2 linked regions of the Arabidopsis thaliana genome follow. The protein of the gene in region 2 purifies or fractionates together with the protein of the main gene of each other region. This does not show direct contact. Each region holds a gene or a part of one and is shown on either strand. Other genes may lie near its edges. The genes, in order: PPa2 and AT1G53070.

The links.
Region 1: the proteins of AT1G53070 (region 2) and PPa2 fractionate together in Arabidopsis thaliana (co-fractionation; one large-scale study listed by BioGRID). This does not show direct contact.

What each region holds. Positions count from the first base shown.
Region 1 is NC_003071.7:7,931,423-7,939,233, forward strand, and holds PPa2 (pyrophosphorylase 2), read right to left. Parts: upstream 2,932-7,811; 5' UTR 2,789-2,931; intron 2,151-2,788; 5' UTR 2,139-2,150; coding exon 1,997-2,138; intron 1,907-1,996; coding exon 1,878-1,906; intron 1,780-1,877; coding exon 1,714-1,779; intron 1,492-1,713; coding exon 1,384-1,491; intron 1,290-1,383; coding exon 1,224-1,289; intron 1,135-1,223; coding exon 1,014-1,134; intron 923-1,013; coding exon 841-922; intron 760-840; coding exon 717-759; 3' UTR 501-716; downstream 1-500. Other genes in the region: AT2G18220 (Noc2p family), read left to right, coding at 123-429; AT2G18240 (Rer1 family protein), read left to right, coding at 4,044-4,405, 4,629-4,863, 4,974-5,042; AT2G18245 (alpha/beta-Hydrolases superfamily protein), read left to right, coding at 5,931-6,559, 6,678-6,780, 7,409-7,602, 7,690-7,811.
Region 2 is NC_003070.9:19,771,939-19,784,681, reverse strand, and holds AT1G53070 (Legume lectin family protein), read right to left. Parts: upstream 6,550-12,743; 5' UTR 6,312-6,549; coding exon 5,493-6,311; 3' UTR 5,235-5,492; downstream 1-5,234. Other genes in the region: SPA4 (SPA1-related 4), read right to left, coding at 69-226, 314-934; AT1G53080 (Legume lectin family protein), read right to left, coding at 2,463-3,314; AT1G53060 (Legume lectin family protein), read right to left, coding at 7,902-8,630; AT1G53050 (Protein kinase superfamily protein), read right to left, coding at 9,151-9,369, 9,453-9,860, 9,954-10,062, 10,189-10,289, 10,391-10,618, 10,721-11,038, 11,129-11,413, 11,692-12,108.

The sequences.
Region 1 (7,811 bases), on a different chromosome or scaffold from region 2:
GTGGCTTTATCAACTTAAGAATATAGATAGGATGGGAACCGGGTTGTCTCCTACGCCTATAACGTAGATATTTTATCTGACCGTTGTGATATAACCTAAAACAACAAATGTGTAATTAACAGAGAAAAAGAGCCGGAAGAAGAGAAAACGAAAAAGAAGAAAAGGAAGAGAGGTGGAAAGAGTAAAACAGAGAAGAAGCAGGATGAGCAAGGCTTAGGAGAAGATGACGTTGTGGAGGATTTTGTGTTGAGTTCTGATGAAGAGGAAGAGGATCTGTTTGATATAGGAGGAGACAAAGATGAAGATGATGCAGTAGACGAAATTGCAGATCCTGAGACCAAGACATCTAAGAAGACTAAGGGCACTTATAAGACCTGGCATAAGGCTTACAAAAAGACCAAGAAGAAGAAGGCCCGAGTAGCTTCTTAAGTTTTTTTTGTATCTTCTTCGATTTGTATGAGAGTACTTTTCGGATGTTTGCGAAACAACATTAAACAAAATTTTGGGGAAAAGAAAAGCTAATATTTCAAATTTTATGATTGTACTGGAAATTTTTCATCATCATCAGAAAGCTTTAAGTTCAACAATGTTTTCTGATGAGCATTACGAAATTAAATGCACCAATTGAAATTTTATCTAACATGCATGTAGTATAGAAGGCGGCTTCAGTGATGTCTAAGCAAACCGGGAGGAACGGAAAAGGACTGGTTTCTTCATTAGCGTTGCAGGCCAGCTTTGATGTAAGCTGCGTAAAGATCCCTGCGTTTCAAAACAGTACATTGCTCATTATTAACAAAACAACGTGTAAATAATTTGGTGTTTGGGATAAAACAAACTTACATGGAGTCCTTGATAGCGTCTATGGCAGCTTGAGCGGGAAGGAAAGCTTCAACGTCGACTTTCTTGTTCTCGTTCTTCTTGTCTAAAAACATTGTTTGTTAAGTGAAAACTGAAAACAAATCATAAGCGAAAACAAAATTATACGTTAAATGCAACATGTCTCTGTAGGATACAGTCCTCAAAGAAGCGACGGATTTCAGCTAGACGGTGAGGGGGAAGCTCTTTGATGTCTCTGTAGTGACGGAACTCGGGATCATCAGCACATACTGCAATGATCTTGTCGTCTTTCTCACCCTGCAAGTTTCAGAACAAGGTGATTCCTGGTTTCTTACTAAGGTAATACATTACATAGAGGTAGAATTGGGTTTAAGAGTTTTTGTTACCTGATCAATCATGGGCATTAGACCAATAGCACGGGCACGGAGGAATGATCCGGTTAGCACAGGCTCCTGCACAGTATTTTATCTCAAGTCTGTTATTTCACTGCCTGTTTACATCAAGTTTGTATGAACATGAAAGCTAAGATGAGGCGAGAGAAAGCACCTGCATCAGTACCAGGACATCCATTGGATCACTGTCTTCACAGATAGTTCGAGGGATGAAACCGTAGTTGTGGGGGTACACAATGGATGAGTAGAGAACGCGATCAACCTAGAGAGGAAAACTTTCAGTGATCAGAGTTTTTCTTCATTTCGACTCTTACGGTGAAGGATATTTAGTTGGAATGCATAAAATGTGACTTATGATATATCTAGCAACAAAGAATTCCTCATATAACCGCATAATCAGACTATATATTGAGGGATCAGAAGACAGGTTATACTCAATCAAAGCATATATGATGCAAGCAGAGACTGCCAAAGAACACTGTACCTTAATAAGGCCACTGTTCTTGTCTAGCTCGTACTTAACCTTTCCACCTTTGCTAATTTCAACAACCTGACAAAGAATTCAAGCACATTTAACAATCACAAGACCAGCACTAACTTTCTTAATATGATCTAATCTTCCGCAATGTAGAAGAAGATAAAACTTACACAGTTGAAAACAGTAGGAGCTTCTGGACCTGAAAGATTCAACAAACAAAACACTTACATCAAACAATCAACACTTGACTCACATGACTATTCAAAGTAACAAAGACAAGGATTCTTACCAATCTCCAAGTCATGCCAAGGATGAGCAGCAGCTGATCTGTGAGTGAAGGCTGCAAAGTTTCTCTCATTCAGCGTAACATTAGGGTTCCTGAGAGGGAAAGCATAGCCCTTGGCGCTTCCTTCATCCTTGATTTCAGCCATATCGGATGTTCACTATAATATGCAAACAAAAGGAGAGTCTCATTCAATCATATACCAAACTCAAAACAGGCCATATAAATTATTCTCACTACTTAACCATTTCATACAATAACCACCAGACAAATCCTTCAACATTCCAGCAGAATCCAATCTTATAAACCATAAAAAATGACTGTTCAAATCCGAGCAGAGAAATGAAGCACACATTTCTACGATGGTTCACTGTTCTAATGCAACTCAATATCATCTTAGGCAAATATCTAACAACGCGAAAGGCTAAAGTATCAGAGATATGCGAAGAACATAGATCCATCATCGATTTCATGTAAATACACATCAAAACACTCAAATCACCAACTAGTCTAAGCTACATCAATTGGAAACTGAAATAGAATCGAAAAACAGAACTAATCCAAACAAATGAAAGATAATCGACGAATCGATCATCTGTGAAGACCAATCCAAGTACTCGGCGCTCAAAACGAAACGAAACCAACAAGAAAATAGCAAAATCAAACGAAATCGCTTCGATTCAACAAGAAGTGATCAAAACAAGTACCATTAACAGGAGAAGATAAACTAAAAATGACCTAATCGACGGATTTCGAAGGAAAAAAAGAAACGAGAGAAGAAGAAGAAGATGATCTTACAGATGAAATCTCAAGCTTCAATCGCGAAACCGAAGCAGAGAATCCGTAACGTTTTTTTCTTTCTTTCTTCTCTCTTCGTTTAAGAAAACAACAAGATTTTGCAGTTACAGTAGAGTTTTCGTGTGACTGTGTGTGTGGCGCTTCTTTATGGGACGTTGGAGGAGGAAGAAGACGCTGACGTCACTTTTTCCTCGGTTATTGTTCATCGTCAATCGTACGATGAATCGTGTCCGTTGAATTTGAAAGGTTAATGGATCTGACGGCCATGGTTTTTCAAGATTTTAATATCTTTCTTAAAAAAATAGTTAGTGTACCTTTTAATTGAACGAAAAGAAAAAGAGACGACAGTGATGTACCAAAAAAGTATCCGACTAACAAATTGTTATATGACGCGTGTCCTGAAAATTAGGCAATTTCTTTCAGTGAATTCCTTATTTTATTTTGTCTGTTTTTGGCAAACAAATTTATTATTTTCTTAGGATAAAGAAATGAATTTATATCACTCATTCTTCTTTCTTTCTTTTTTGTTTTCACTCAAAATCAGTCACTCATTATTCTGTGTATTTATTATTTTCTTTTTTGTTTTCATTATTCTGTCACAAAAACAAGTTGAATAACAAATTACCACTTTTGATATTTTTCTTTTTTCATAAGTATCTAATATGTCAAATGGGAAAAAATGATCATTATTGAGCTGTGGGGTTAACCACAACCAAAAAAACTGTGTCGTATGGATGTGACCATCGAGCAGTGTTTTTTTGGTGACTGTCAACTAGAATTACAAGTCTAGAGAATCATACGCAAAACGTTAAAATTCGGTTTAAGGTCCCAGAGAAACAAAAAAGATTCGGTTTTGGATTCTTTCTGGTTGGGCCTCACAGAATATCGAATCGTTCCATGTAAAAACCAAAAAAAGTTCAACATATTTTCCCTACTGGGCTTAAACAAATATTTTATGAAGCCCAACATGTTTAACAAAAGTATCTTACTTTGCGACACGTGTCATGTTCCTTCTCCCCACGTCATTCAGTTTCTTCCTCTTCTTTCCAGAAAAACCAAGACTTTAATACGACTAAGAAAAATTCAGACGAAACTGAGAAACTTTCAATTTAATTGGTTCAAAATCATCCTAAATCGAGTAGATTGTTTTGAATCGATTTTTGAAGTTGATTCGAAGTTCAGTGATTGTGATTAGAATTTATAACCAGACCCAGTTTTTGAGGTGAAGAAAAAGCAGATTTTGTGTTCAATTTCCATGGAAGACGAACCAGGAAGCGAAAATGAAGCAGACACCATAGTTGCTTCACCACTTGCAAAATGGAGAATCGAATTCTCGAAATCGTTTCAGAATTACTTAGACAGATCTGCTCCTAACATTGTTCGAAGATGGCTTGTGACTTTAGTCGCTGCAGTGATCTATATCTATAGGGTTTACTCTGTTTATGGATACTTCGTTATCTCTTATGGCTTAGCTACTTATATCTTAAATCTCTTGATTGGTTTCCTTTCCCCTAAAGTTGATCCTGAACTTGAAGCTTTGGATCCTGATTCTTTACCTGTTGATGAGTCTGATGAGTATAAGCCCTTTGTTCGTCGTCTTCCTGAGTTCAAGTTCTGGTAAAATTTCTCTTTTACTTTTGATGATGGATGATTTTGATTTAGGTTTGTCGAAAAGTTTGTGTTTTTACCATTCATTGTTAAAGTTCTGGTAGATTTCTTCTTTTGAGACAATTTGATTGATGATTGTTATGATAGTGAATTCGTATGAGAACTGATTTAGGTCTAATGGTCTGCTTTAGGGTTTGAATTCTCATGAAAGTTTGTCAATTTTGATTTTCAGGTATGCAGCGACTAAAGCATTTGTTGTTGCATTTGTGATGACATTCTTCTCTTTCCTGGATGTGCCTGTGTTCTGGCCGATCTTGTTGTGTTACTGGTTGGTTTTGTATTCTTTAACTATGAAACGCTTAATCGTGCACATGTTCAAGTATAGATACTTTCCTTTCGATGTAAGAAAGCCTGTGAAGCTGCTCAAGTTTCTTGTAAACAGTGTCCTGACCTTTTTAAGACTCAAGGTAAATCGTGCAACGGGGTGATTTGTATTCGATTTCTTTTGGATAGTCTTGAATCTCTGCTTTAGAAAGTTAAGAGTGCTGAACATAGATTGTGCTGATGTTTTTGACAGAAGGGTGATGGTGGAGATGATAGGCCCAGCAGCAGCAATTCATCTCAGGGAAATGAAAAACAAGATTAGATGCGAACAGTAGATCAGGTACTGATCTCGACGTGGTGATAGGCGAAGCAAGAAAGGATACAAACTAAGGATATCAAAGTAAAATATACTATAGCCATGCTGGTGGAATAGGAAAACAAAGTTCTTGAAGCTTAACAGAACTAAGAAATCTCTCTGAGTTTTGAGTAATCTCCTGCATTTTCCGGTTTTTGCATTGTAATGTGTAACAGTGTATTTTACAATTATACGTTTAAATGAATTTGGGAATCACAAGTAGGAAAAAGTATTCTTTACAGTTCCAGGACTTGGATACTACTCTGGACACAACTAATCACACAAAGCTGTGTTGACAGCCTCCAATACCAAGCACTGGTCCAAATCTCTTTGCAGAAACAGATACAGATTGGTCATCATACTCGGAGAACTGTGTGGACTCGAGTGTACTTACTTGACTTCCTAGGTTAGTATACTTCTCAAGCATTTATGTCTCTTGACTTCTATTGGTTTAGATATCGGTTTGGCAAATATTCATAGGGTTTATGCACAATTACATTTGCAACAACAACAAAATATAGTGAAGGATATAGCAATGAGAGATTACTGGAGAGACTCTATAAGACAGTTTCCGAGGAAGTGCAGTGCGTAAAACCGCAGACTGTTGTCCAATTCAGATATGTTGTACTCTTTGATCCGAGAAAAAGATGGTGTAAACCAAAATGGAACATTTCAAAGTCTGAAAAGAGAGATTGAATCAGCTCCAAGGCATAAGGGAAACCCGCTAATTCAGCAAGACTGTTTAATTTCCTATAAATATTCTATTTTTATTTTCTTTTCAGATATTTATTCATCACTTATCAGCGATTTGACGAGAAGAGCTTTTTGGTTTCTGCGAATCATCCAAAATCCGCCATGGAAGCAACTACAAGAATCTTGAGTACTTCTTCTGCTCTCAATCGTCTTCTTCTTCTCAGTAAGCTCAATCTAAAATCAGATCCCCGTAATATCAATTCCACAAATCAGCTACTACACAATGCCGTTACCCGAAAATCCTCTATCTCCGCCGCTCGTATACGGTGCTCTTCGCTCCCTGCGAATGCGAATCTCTTCAGATCACTCTTCTTCCTAACGTCAACGTTTCGTCTCGAGAACACCGCCGTTCACGCTAATCCATTCCGATCCGAACCTAACGACGGCGTCGCCGTCTGGAACAGAGCTCCACGGATCGTGAACGGAGGTGGAAACGCGGCGATATTCGGCGGGAACGAGGGGAAAGAGACGACGGTGGTTCTCCTTGGTTGGCTAGGAGCGAAAGCTAAACATCTAAGGAGATACGTTGAGTGGTACAACTCCAGGGGAATTAACGCCGTTACTTTCACTGTTGACGTTAGGGATTTGCTCCGGTTAGATCTTGGTCGGCGGCTTGAACGAAGGATAGCTGAATTTGGGAATGAATTGGTTAATTGGGTATCGGAGAAAGAAGATGATGGTAGAGAGAAATGCTTGGTGTTTCACAGTTTCAGTAACACTGGTTGGCTTGTGTAGGTTGATGAAACCAAAATCCTTCAAAATCCTACATTGTGATTGCGATTGTGATTTAGTGTTGATTTGAATTAGATGATGAATTTTAAGCATGGTGGGCTTTTTTACTTTTGGTAGATATGGTGCCTTGCTAGAGAGCTTCATTGGTAGACAAGATTTAGTAGAAAGGATTAAGGGTTGTATCATTGACTCGGGAGGAGCAGATCCTCTTGATACTAAGGTTTGTTCTCTCTTTCATGTAACCAAGAGTTTTAAATGCTATTCAATGGTTTCTCCACTGCTTCAAGATCTTGTATTGGAAGTGGAAATGTCAATATTGTTGTGAAGTGAAAAATTCTATTTGAGCTATGTTGTCCTCTTTTTCAATAATGATTCATTTTATGCTAGTGTGAAAGCTTTGCTAGTTTGAGTTCTATGTTGAAGAACTTTGTATCGATTACAAGCATTTGCAGAACCATGGCTAGGGGACTTTTGATTTTGATATCTAAGCAATTAGCTTTGTAGATAGATAACTCAGTACTTAGAAAAGACTATATAGCTATGAGTTAAAACCGCTGATTTCTTTTGGTTACGTAGCCATCACTCACAGGTTTATAGTACATCGGCCTATATATCTTGTGAATGTGATCTTGTTCTCTTGCAAGATATGATGTCTTAGGCATGTGAACAAGATAAAATGAGCTTCATAGTATGTGCCTGAGTTTGTTCTGAAGCCCCTTTTGTTGAAAATTGCTTAATCATTGCGTAGTCCTAATAAGCCATCATAATCATTCATCTTGCATAAGATTAGCAATGCGTACACCTGTGCAGATTTTATAGATCAACAATTGAATTCTGTTCTTTTGCAGATTTGGGCAGCGGGGTTTACCGCGGCTATACTGAAGAAGCGTAGCTCCACCATAACCACAGAACCAAACAGTCCCATAAAAGAAGAGGATGCTTCAACACCACAAAAGAAGGAACCTTTAGGAATCGAAAACATAATGCTATCATCTCTGGAGAAACTCTTCCCCATCTTCTTAAACCACCCAGACGTCAATACGTAAGCTTCACACCACACAGTAGACAACCCATCTGCTTCTTCTTTGTATATTAGGTTGATTAATCTGAGTTATTGTTTGTATCGCAGGAGGCTAACAAAAATCATTCAAAAACTATATGAGAACCATCCTCCATGTCCTCAGCTCTATCTTTACAGCTCCGGGGACAAAGTTGTTCCATCTCATTCCGTTGAGCTCCGCATCCGAGAAC
Region 2 (12,743 bases):
ACTCTTAATTAAAGGACAAAACTTTTCCAATTGAAACTAAAAACATCAAAGAGAGAATCAATCATCACCTCATCGATGGTCGACAGCTAGGCTCAGGATGCAGTAACCACAAGCAAAAGGAAGCTTCTTTAGGCCAATTGAGTAATATCTGAGGGGGAAGAACACGATGTCTTAAACTAGACATAGTTCTTGACTTCTCTTCTCTTGAGGAGACAGGGCAGAATAGCTGCACAAAGACTAACATTCATCAAATCAGTTTTCTCAAGAAAACAAAGCAGTTAAGAACAAAAATCAAATCTTCTTACGCACAAACCTCAAAGAGAAGAACACCAAGACGGTAAATATCAGAAGCACAATTACACAGAGAACCATTATCTTCTTCATGACTTGTATACCAACTCATCTCCATTGCTAATATCTGTTTCATAGGGAAAGGTTGCTTCTTTACTTCCTCTTGTTGTTTGCTTCGTCTCTCTGATAGAATCTCCTCTTGTCTCGAGCTACCAATCTCTCGAGACTTTGTTGTTGCATCCTCATCAGACCCGGAATCCGAACAAGAAGCGGATTCGATAAACGAAACATTGTTAAACGAAGACATAACGAAACAAGAAGGCCTAACATTATGAACAACAATGCCTTGAGAGTGAGCTGCATTAACAATCTCAACAATCTGTCTGAAAACATGAAAACACTCAAAGGCATCAACGGATCGGTCTGGATTGTCTAACCACTGACGCAAGCTAACATCCTCACATTCCAAAGCTCTGACAATAGAGTCATCATCAAGTCCTCCCAAGTTAGCTTCTTTATGTGAACCAAGTAAGCTTCTGACATAATCAATGTGAGACAAAGACTTAGAACCATCTGTACAAAACTCTGAAACACCAGAGGTGTTGTTTAATCCTCTGGAACTAGATTCTGAAGAACCCTTCATTGATTACCAAACAAACTCCTCTGGATTCTGCAATACTTCATTTCATGATCCCAGCCCAAAAGCCCTAAGTTAGAATCGAAATAAAGTAAAGAAATTTAGAACGAAAGTTAAGATTTTTAAAAGACCCTTTGACAGAAAACACCAAAACCAGAAAATATATTCGAATAAAAATGCAACCTTTGATTACATAAAGAGACAAACACGAGGAAGCTTCTTGACCACTAAACTCTCTCTATATATAAAAGAAAAGCGAAGAAGAAGATAAGAAGAAGAAGAAGTACTTGAGAGACTAAGAGGCACCGAAGAAACGATCCTTTTTTGAGAACCACACATCGCAAAAACTGAGTTCGTAGAAAAGCAATAATCAGATTCATAAAAATTAAATTCTCGGCTAAGAGAAATCTATTTTGGGCCTACGATTTTTACTTCACAGTGAGGGTTTTATTTTTCGCTTTTTGATAATCTTCACTTCTCTTCTCTTTCCACGCAAGCAACGTGGTTAAACGACGACCTAGGAATCAAAAGAACGTAAAGCTAAAACCTTTTTCGTATTTTGGTTTTGGGCCATATATGTAAATATAAGTAAACCATGAGGTCAAAGTGAATTTTGTTCTTTTTTGAAGTGACCAATTTTCTTCAAGAGGAATGTTTAAATTATGTTGTGGTCCAAATAATATAACACATTTTTGTAAGGCTATAATAGGAATTTAAAATGACCAAAATAATTTTTGAATAACATATTTGAAGCCTTATTACAAGAGAAAGTACCTAAAGAAATGATTGTACTTTGAAAATCTTGAATGAGAAAAACAAAATTGTTTGTATTATTGGTTTTGGTGAAAGGAAAGAGAATGTATTGGTGGGAGCATTTAATAACCAGAGGGGAGTTTCCATTTCCATGGAATGGATTGAGACAAGTCGACAACGTAAGTGGTAAATTACAAAATCACATGCGTCCGGACACGCCACGTGTTTTTTCTTTTTCTATGATTAGATTACATACACAAATTTATCAATGAAAAAAAAAAAAAAACTCTGTTTTTTTATTGAAACCAAACCATCTGAAATGTAATGCAAGATTTTTGTAGAAAATGATACGACCTAGAAACTGTGATAGCTTTAACCTTATATATCGTGGATTTGTCAATATTTTAGTTTTAAATTTTAGTAATATCTTTTAAAAACTTATGTTAAGAAACTTGTGACATGAACAAACTGATTCAATTTGATGAGGACGATGACCACAATACCACGTGGTTGTGCTTTGGCTTTTAACGAGTCTTTATTTATACAAAATCAATGATGCATGTCCAAGAAGATCATTGACGGTGATGGTCCGGGACAGTGTGCATGTTTTCTTCTCAGGATTTTTTTTAATGGTTTAATCGATCAAAGTAATTTTAAATTTGATTTTGACATTTTATACGTACTCTCTTTTTAACCACTTTTGAATAAAAATCAAGAGAAAATACATAATTGTTAAACCGGTAACAAACATAAATCAAACCAAACAAGACCAAAATCAGAACTAATTGTTTTTGGCGGTGTTCTCAAAACTCCAGCTCCAAATGTCGTGACGCTCGACGCCACGACCCATCGAACCGGAAAAGCCGGTATACATAGTCTCAAGAACCACCTCCGAGAGATCAACTTGTGTTTCGATCAATGGCCTCTTCGGTTTCTTTAAATGCGCAGGTGCAAGCCAAACAATGACTTTACTGTTCTTATACTCAATCCAAGCTTTGTAGTTGTCTCCGCTACTAAGCTTCACTTCCTTAAACAACCATTGATTCTTCCCTCTAGTTCTTGTCTGAATCCAATACCCAGCTTTCTCAGAAACCTTTGAGTTAACAGAGTTAATATTAACACCAACATGATTATCATTAATATCACCAAAACGTTTGTCTTGGAAAACATCGAATTCGACCGCAAAGAGATGGTTATTAGGATTGCCATTGGTTGTGAGGTTAACTAGACCGAGGAAGCCGCGGGTTGAGTCTTGGTCGTACTCGTAGGCTACGGTTGGGACCACGATGAAGGCGATACCATGACCAGGGTTAGGGTTTGACCGTCGAGGAGTGATGGAGAAAGTGAAAGATGTTTTGAAAGAGTAAACAGAAGAAGATGTGTTGTTGGAAGATTTGAATGGGATTGGATCTGTGTAGAGACCTTGACCATGTGAGAATGGAATGTTGTCACGGGTCATGGAGAGAGCTCCGGACCGGCTCATGCCATCGGTTGCTGGTCCTAGCTCGGCGTACCCGATGAAGATTAGATTTGTTCCGTCGAAACGGTTGAAGTTGAATTTGACGGCGGAAATGGTTTTAGAGCTTAACAAAGATATGAACAGAACAAAAATACAGAGTTTGTGGATCTGCATTATGCGTTTGTTGTTTACGTGTGTATGTTTTTGTTTTTGGTGTTATGGAAGTGGAAGTAGTGCTGTAATATATAGTGTGACGAAAGCCAGTGAACTTCAACTATGACTTTTCAAACATATATAGAGGTCAAATATGATAGCGCCAACTGGGCACACGAAAAAGACTATTTTTTAGTGATAAACCATTGATTTCTGAATTCAAGATGGATGGAAAAAAAAAACTAAAGAACAAAACAATTATTATGAATCGAAAGGATTGTTAACTCTCTCTCACGACTTTACACATTAGCACATAGAGTTTGCCACATAAACTTCATAAAATAAGTAATAAATAATTAGTAATAAATAATTAGTAATAATTTAACATAACAACTAAAATAAGAGGATATAATTAATCAGAACTTGAACCATCACAGTTTTTATATTTTTTTTAATTCAATATATCCTCTTTAATTTTGAGATCTACTTGAGTGGTTAAAGTGATCATAAAATCCAAACATGTTACACATATTCCTTGCCTAAAAATTAGACGATTATTATGAAAGAAACTAAATGAATATGCAGATTAAATATATCTAAGCTTTTCGAGAATTATGCTAAGAAACAAGTATTTTGAAAGATGTTTGAGGAGCTATCCTTATAACTAATATGTAAGATATAAGATTATGACAAGAACTTAACTAAACTTTCCAAGAACATCAAGTTAAATATGATTAGATTTAATATGCAAAGACATGGTTAATAAAGACATGTTATATTTTTAGTATAAGAAACAAATTTTCTAAAATTTCACCGTCCCACAATCTAAACATATAACAAAAAAAACAAGGATATATAAATTTTAAAAAAACTGAGAATCTAGAACAACAATAAAAAAAAACAACTCAAGCATATTCGTTTTTCATATGAACTAATATAGTTGGACTTTTCAAAAACAATTACAAATCATATTTATGTTTCAAAACCGATGCATTCAACTTTACTTTATGTTATATGAACAAACATTATATAAAACAATTTGTAAATAGTAATACATAAACCCGCACGTAGTGCGGGTACTCATCTAGTTTATCATTAAAGTCGAATAAACACAATAACTCATAAGAAAATTTATCTAATCCTTACTACTAATTATATTTCCACTAGAGCCGGTCTTGATATTTAAGGAGTCCAAACGCAAGAAAAGATTGTTCTGGTATTTTTTGGACTAGTTATCAAAGAAATGACAAAACATTTTAAAAAATTAGAGTTCATGAAGGCTTTGTTATATTGCAAAGGGTCCATTTTTAGATTATTGTTTTGTTGATGAGGCCGAAAACTTTGGAGGTCCTAGATCAATGATTCCTTTCGCTTGTCGCATGGTCACCTTTGCCTAGCACGATCCTCCACCAAAAACACGTCAAATTCTATTCTAGCAGATTGATGATTGTAGTCAAATCACATCGTCGTAGGTAAAATTATGAGATGCTGTCTGTCCAAGCCTCGACAACGAGGACACACTCTTCAATTGGATAAAGCAAAAACACTAAAAAAATATCTCACTGAAAGAGGGAGAATACGAAATAGATATGAGAAAGAGCGTATATACAACCACGATATATAATCTCAAAGAGCATTCATCTCTATCACACTTTTACAACATAATCTGAAAGAAACGAGACAACTTTCCGACAATTCATCAAGTCCTCCTTTCCTTCGTTCCTAGATCTCTCATTTTCCAAGTCGCATCATGGAGTGTTATAATCCACTTGGCATGTAACATTTCCTCTTTAAAAGTCTTCCACAAAACAACATAGTTGGTAGTAGACTCTTTTTTTCCGGTAAACATGTTAAGATGTTTTAGACTATTTTGATAGTCCCATAACTACGATCTCCACATTTCTCCTATAAATCTGATTCTCATCTAGTCATGTTGGCCAATTTTGATAGAATGTAAAATCATTTTTTCTTTTTTTGTCAACGAGAAATGTAATTTAAAAGTGACTAACATAAAAGATTAGGAACGAAACGTCCTTGATTTCTACTAATCTGACAACAATAATACATCAAATTGTCGGTAAGACATAAAATGAGCAATTATTTCACTTCAATTATCACAAGCTGAAGGCACACCAGGGTAAACCAGAAACATAAACCAAAAGAAAACCGATGATCTCGAACCAAACCAAACCTGTTTTCTTAATTCTGGAAAGTCCAGTCCCAAATCTCGTGACGCTCGACACCACGACCCATCGAACCAGCAAAACCGGTATACATTACCTCGTGTATGACCTTGGAAAGATCGAATTTTGCTTCAATCAATGGCCGGTTCGGTTTCTTCAAATGCGCTAAACCAATCGTAACAGAGACTACTTTATAATTGTTGTTGTACTCAATCCAAGCCTTGTATCTATCTCCACTACTTAGCTTCAAATCCTTAAATAACCAACCGCTTCTTGTCATAACCCAATAACCGGATTTCACAGAAACCACCGAATCAACCGAATTAATATCGATTCCGACATGGTTATCGTTCATGTCGCCAAGAGATTTGTCTTGAAAGACATCGAACTCAACGGCAAAGAGGTGGTTATTAGGATTACCGTTATTGGTTCGGTTCAGAAGACTGAGATAGCCTAAACCGGAACCGGCGTCGTTTTGGTTACTTGGGACGACGATGAAAGCAAGGCCATGACCTTGATTAGGGTTTGTTTTAGGAGTAATGGAGAAAGTGAAAGAGGTTTTAAAAGGGTAAAGAGCTGAAGCATTAGGCTTGAAAGTGATTGGAGTGGTGAAAATGGCTCGACCATGAGAGAAAGGAATGTTGTCTCGAGTCAATGCGATGGCTCCGGACCGGCTCTTGCCATCAGTGTCAGGACCATACTCAGCGTCTCCATGGAATGATATTGGATCGGTGCCGTTACCAAAGTAATCGAATTTGAATTTGTAAGCAGTGGTGACTTGAGAGGTGAAGATAGCTAAGAACAGAGTGGTGAAACAGAGTATTTGGATCTTCATTTTTTAGTTCTGTTTTTGGGAATTTGGGAAGTGAAAGTGGTGAACTTTAAAAGATGTGAGTGTTGAAAAGATCGAGAAGACTTAAAATAATTGAGAGAGAAGAGAGACAAAGAATTTGAATTATGGCATTAGATGACAAAAGCTGTTCTCGAAAGTGCACAAAATGGTTCTACTTTTTCTGTGCCCACAATGCTGAAAACAAAAACGTTATGAGTGTATAGGAGGAAATTAAAACTAGTATTGATTGAATAAACTTATATATGTATATAAGTTAGTCTGTCCTAATATATAGGTTAGGAAAGATATAAGTTAGTCCACATTCATGATCAAATCTATCATATTTCATTAAGTTATACCAAAACCAAATTTTTCTTAATTAACAATATACTATGTGTCCTTTATATATTAAAAGTTTTTAGTGCTTATGTGACAATCCCACATTTTTTCTCTCAGCTTTTTTACTATTTAATTATTTTGTTATAACTATCAATTTGTCAAACACATTTTTCTTTATCCTCATTCTCTTTAAACCATTTAGTCATTTACCAAACACATTTAAATTTTTTTCAAATATATAGAGTTACCAAATCATGTATTTTTAACTTCTCTTATTATCACCAAATTAACAATTTCCATTATGTGTATATATGTATATTAAATGGTTAGATTTTTCTTTAATGTCATTCAATTTGATTATGACCTAAAAATTAACAAAGTTTGATACTAAAGAAACATTTGTTTACTTTTAAATCACTCCATTTAACTTTTAAATCATCACCATTTAGTTCTAAAGTTTTTAAACCAAAATAGAATGTCTTAGTAAATAATATAAAATAAAAAAATAAAAAAAAAATATATTAAAAAAATCAACCTAACTTATAAATATACTTTATTGATAAAATATGTATATATATTATTGGATTGTTTTTGTTTAAACCATGCAATGAAGTAATCATTGGATTGTTTTTGTTGTTGCAAACTTGCAATGAGGTTACAAAAAGGGAAAGAAGACGAGACGACTCGTCCAGAAAAAGGTCGGAGAAATTTTGAGATGAGAGCCAAATCAGGCGAAATAGGGCTTACCCGACTTGATGATAAAGAAGTATCATGATATGGTTGGATGTCATACGTATGTGTTCAAATTTCCTTACTGGTACATTTTTTTTGTGTGTGGAGAGTAGTCTATTTTCATGGTGTGATTAAGTTTGTATACCGAGTTTCACTCAATGAAACGTATTGTGTGAGAATATGTTTCAAATGACGAATATTTGTAGTTAATTCTTGACATAGATCGTTGCAGGAAAGGATCTATGTTGAAGCCTACATAGGCACATGCCTTACTGGTTTTTCAGCAATTTACCGTCTCATAGAAGATTACGATATCTAATAGTTCTTACTATGGAAATGGATCCTTTATTGTAAATCTTTCTAGAAATCTGAAAGTAGATACATGGCACGTTAGGCCATAACATAAGCATTTATTAGCCTTCAACTATCACTAGCCTTAGCATCACGAGATTCACGACAGAAAACGAAGCTGCAAAACCAGTAACAACTTTGACATAAACAAAGCTGAAGCAAACCGGTTTATTAGTCTTTGGCACTGTTCTCAAAACTCCAGTCCAAGATCTCGTGACGCTCGACGCCACGTCCCATTGAACCGGCAAAACCGACATACATTTTCTCGAGAAAAACCTTAGAAAGATCGACTCGTGCTTCGATCAATGGCCTCTTCGGTTTTTCTTGTGAACGTCCGATCGTGACTGTCACTTTCCCGTTCTCGTACTCAATCCAAGCCCTGTATCCGTTTCCACTTAGCTTCAATTCCTTGAACAACCACCGGTTTTTTCCTTCGATTTTTGATTGATACCAATAACCGGCCTTCTTAGATACCGTTGAATTAACCGAATTATTGTTGATTCCGATATGGTTATCGTTAATGTCGCCAAGAGACTTGTCTTTAAAAACATCAAACTCAACCGCAAAGAGATGGTTCTTGGGATTACCGTTGCTAAACCGGTTCACAAGACTGAGATAGCCTAAACCAGAAGCGGAGTCGTTTCTATCGTTGGGGACGATGATAAAGGCGAGGCCATGACCGGGATTAGGATTTTTCGGGCGAGGACTAATGACGAAATAGAAAGAAGTTTTGAAAGAGTAGACAGAGGAAGAAGTAGAACTAGGCTTAAAAGGGACTGGATTGATGAAAATGGCTCGACCATGAGAGAATGGGACATTGTCACGGCTCAATCCAATTGCTCCTGACTTGCTCATACCATCAGGCTCTGAAGCGTACTCGGCGTCTCCATGGAATGTCATCAGATCAGTTCCATTTCCGAAGTAAATGAAGTCGAAACTGTAAGCAGAACACGTTATGGCGTGAGAGCAAAACAGAGCAAAAAACAGAGGAATGAAACAGAGTGTTTTGATCTGCAATTCTGTTTATTTTTTTCTTGGATATGGAAAGTATAAGAGGATAACAAGATTTATATAGTGAAAGAGAGCCAACAAAGTTTGACTCGACAAGATCATTTATTTTTCACAAGTAAAGATCTCGTAACACCTTTCTTGGTAAATTTCATAAAAAGTCACAAATTAAAAAGTTCAACTTTTGGAACATTTTCTAAATTATGATATATAACTCTGTTTCTACAGCTTTCTTATAATAAAATAATATCACATTACAGGGAAGCTAAAACGTGAAAAGATTTGATTCTATGATGATATATAATCTTTGAATCAATAAAATACAATTATTTTTCACTCAAAATACGCCGTGTTAAAAGGTTTCAGGCAAATGAGGTTCGGTTTGATCATTTACTTTTGCCTCACTGATGGATCAACGGCTAGAAACAGATGAGGGATGATTGGTTGCGACTTGTTGGCTCGAAGCTTCGTCAGCTTGAAGTTTCTTGACTCGAGCCTTATCGATTCGTGCTCTTCTCACAGCTTCTTGGATATGTCGGTCATGGTCTTTCAACACTTGATCCATGTTTCCTGATGGAACCACTAACGGTCCTGAGTAATGAATCTTGTGCCCTTTTGATCCATAACCCAACTGCAAACCAAACCATACAACTCAGAATATTAACATTGCTAGTCTTCTAAAATTAGCAAAGGAGGGACGTTTAGGGAACTTACGAGAATAGGGTCTTTCTTGTTGCTTCGACCATTCTCTTCCTGGTTTGCTTCTTCAGACGTTTCCTTGAATGAACCTGGAAGCCGAGTCATTCCTCTGCAAGTCTCTTGTTGTGGTGCGCCTGTTCTTGTTGCGGCAAAACCAGGCATTGCTGAGTAATCAGCTATGGATGAAACCTTTTGAGAATCTTGGTAATTCCGTCTACCCTTTGCGGAAGCAGATCTACGTGATAGAGGACCAGAATGTGAAGCTCTCTTGTGAGGAATTATATTGCCCTGAGATTCTCTGTTTGGTTCAAATGCTTGTGATGACGGCCTTGGTGGATCGATTGGGAAACCGGATGCAACTTCTTCAGGATGTGGATTAAACTTCTCGCTTCGACTTCTATTAGTAGACTGGCTCTGCCTTTTCTGCAATGACATAAATGCGAGAGGGTCAAAAACGTTGAATAAAAGCAAAAAGCTTTAACATCGAAAGAAATAGATTTTTTAAGATTTTTTAACCTGCATTGATGCAACCAGCTCTGCATTTGCGTCAGGGGCTGGGATGGCTCGAGATTCCTTAGTTCCTCTTCTTTCTTGGTGTCTTTGGTCCCTGTTTCCTCCAACTTGTCTACAAAAACAGGAACTAGATTAAAGCATTTCTATAAATATTTCTTTTTGCGTTAATGATACTATGCTATCGTAAGAGCATTGCAGGATAAAAGTCACATCAGACTAGAAAATCTGGATGGCATACCTTCTACTTTCCTCATCCCGCATTCTTGCATCGAGCTCTTTGCTGGGAGGATATTTAGGCAAGCTTGAAGGATCACATGGAAGAGGTCTGGTGGAGAAGAACTGAAAATAAAAGAATGATAATTTGATGTTACAAAAGCGATTACCAGGAAATACAGACGCATAAGAACACACAGCTTTTACTGCCTGAGTAATGCCAGTACCTCACTCTTGAGAGCTGCAGTGGCAGTTCCACGATCGTCAGGATTGACTGAAAGGAGAGTTTCAAGAAGGGCTAAAGCTGGCTGAGGAAACTCCTTGAATGTTTCACCCACTAAGCGTTTATATGGTTGAGTAGGCTTGAAAATTGTTGCATGAGGCAACCTTGATTTTACCCAATAGTCCTCGGTAGGCGAGCCACATAGCTTGAAAATCTTGTGCAACTGTTCCACCTGTAACACCATAAGCATTACCAGAGTCACCTTACGAAACCAAACTAGTCTAACATAAATCAGAGCAAACACTAAAAGAGAAAACAAAAACTGTAAATCTACCTCGGTTCTACCAGGCATAATAGGCTTGCCTGCATATAGTTCAGCAAGAATGCAACCTGCACTCCACAAATCAACTGCTGCTCCATAGCGAGTTGCTCCGAGCAAAAGCTCAGGTGGACGGTACCAAAGAGTTACCACACGACTGGTCAAAGGCTGAGTTTGACGAGGATCAAAGAAACTAGCTAATCCAAAGTCAGCAATCTTTAAAACTCCACTATTATCTATTAGCAGGTTTGAGCCTTTTATATCCCGATGGAGTACACCACGACTGTGACAATGGTCTAGTCCATGTAATAGTTGCTGCAGGTAGCACTTAACCTGTATGAAAAGAAAGCCCAGCCTCAGAAAATTGTACTGAAAGTGGTGCCTAGGTCATGAAGATGTTGAATAGAAACAAAAAAAAGTTACCTGTGATTCAGAAAATTTTATCGCGGGATGCGAGGCTAGCCCAGCTAAATCGTGTTCCATGTACTCGAAAACAAGATATAAGCTGCAAGACATTCTTGACGTAACTAAGCCTTCTAGCTTTATGATATTAGGATGATCAAGCCGGCGTAATATCTGGATTTCTCTAGCCATAAAACGCACACTTTCTGGCTCCAAGTTATCAAACCTAACTTTCTTCAAAGCCACAATTTTCTTCTGATCCAGGTCGCGAGCCCTATATACATTACTATAAGTGCCCTGACCAATCTGCATAAAACAATTAAAACCGCTGCATCAGGGATCATTCTTCACAGCTATAAGTTCAAAACCTTTTCAGGTCATGTTATATAGTTTTAAAAACCATCAACTGAAAAACAAAATCCACTTTCAATAACATAAAAGCATCATTTACTGCAACCCATATCTTTGGAGCTTAGGATATGTTTCTAAATACGGAAACATGCCACTATATGTCATGCAATCAAAAGAGTCTATTTAACAGTATTTTCAAAATGAATGTATATATACAAAGAAAAGAAGATTACTTTGTCCAACTTCTCAAAAGAATCCGCACGCCGAGGAACCCATCCCCTGATAGCTTCTCCAGCTACAGAAGCCAGCCATGGAGGCCAACCTGCAGCTACATACTCTCCTTCAGTTGCTTTAGCTATGGTAATACTCATTGCAAGAGGTGAAGTAGCAGCAACATTCTCAATCCTCTTCTCTCTTCTACTCAAATTCTCTCCACGCAAATGCAACGAAACATTGGATTGCTTATTACTCAACACTGGTCTTACACTAACAACATCAGACCGTTCCTTAATCCTAAGCGGCTCCTCCCTTCTAGAAGAAGCAACCGGTCTTGAAACTCTAAACTCAGAAGAGGATTTGCTTGAGAAACGCTCTCTTGGACTATCTTTGCTATCTTCAATAGCAGAAGGCTTACCACAAACACAACCCATCTCCCTCAATTTACCCCCAAATTTTTTTGATACTTAGAACCAAAAATAATCTTTACACAATTCATCCATCTTCTTCCACTAGCTAATTAAATGGACCACATGAAAAAACTAGACCCATTAAAACACATAAAGTCAGAGACTTTCCAAAAAGGAGAAACGAAATTAAGGAACCCTAGAACTCGAAGAACAGTGTATATAACCCAGAAAAAAAAAGGAATGATTTTTACTCAATCTGCAAAATGTACCCAGATCAAGAAGATTGTTCAGGCATTAATAACTACAGTGTAGTACAAAAAAACCCAGGATTATAACTTTTGTGCATAAAGCAAGTACCTTTCAAGAGATTGAAGAGAGAGAGAGACGACTAAAAAAACCAGAAGCAAAATGGTAAAATTGAATAATTTGCAGGAATAACTAATAAACAATGGAGCTTTCGAGAATAATTATGAGGAGAAATCAAAAGGGTTTAAGAGTGTTTGCTTGAGAGAGAGATGGATCTGGGGCGGAGAGATTTCTGAGAGACGCATGTGTTGTTGAAGCACAATGTTGAATGAATTAAAAAACCTTTGTAAAAATTGGAAACTCCAAAAAGTAATATTATGAGCATTTTAATAATAATAAATACGTTCGGTAGT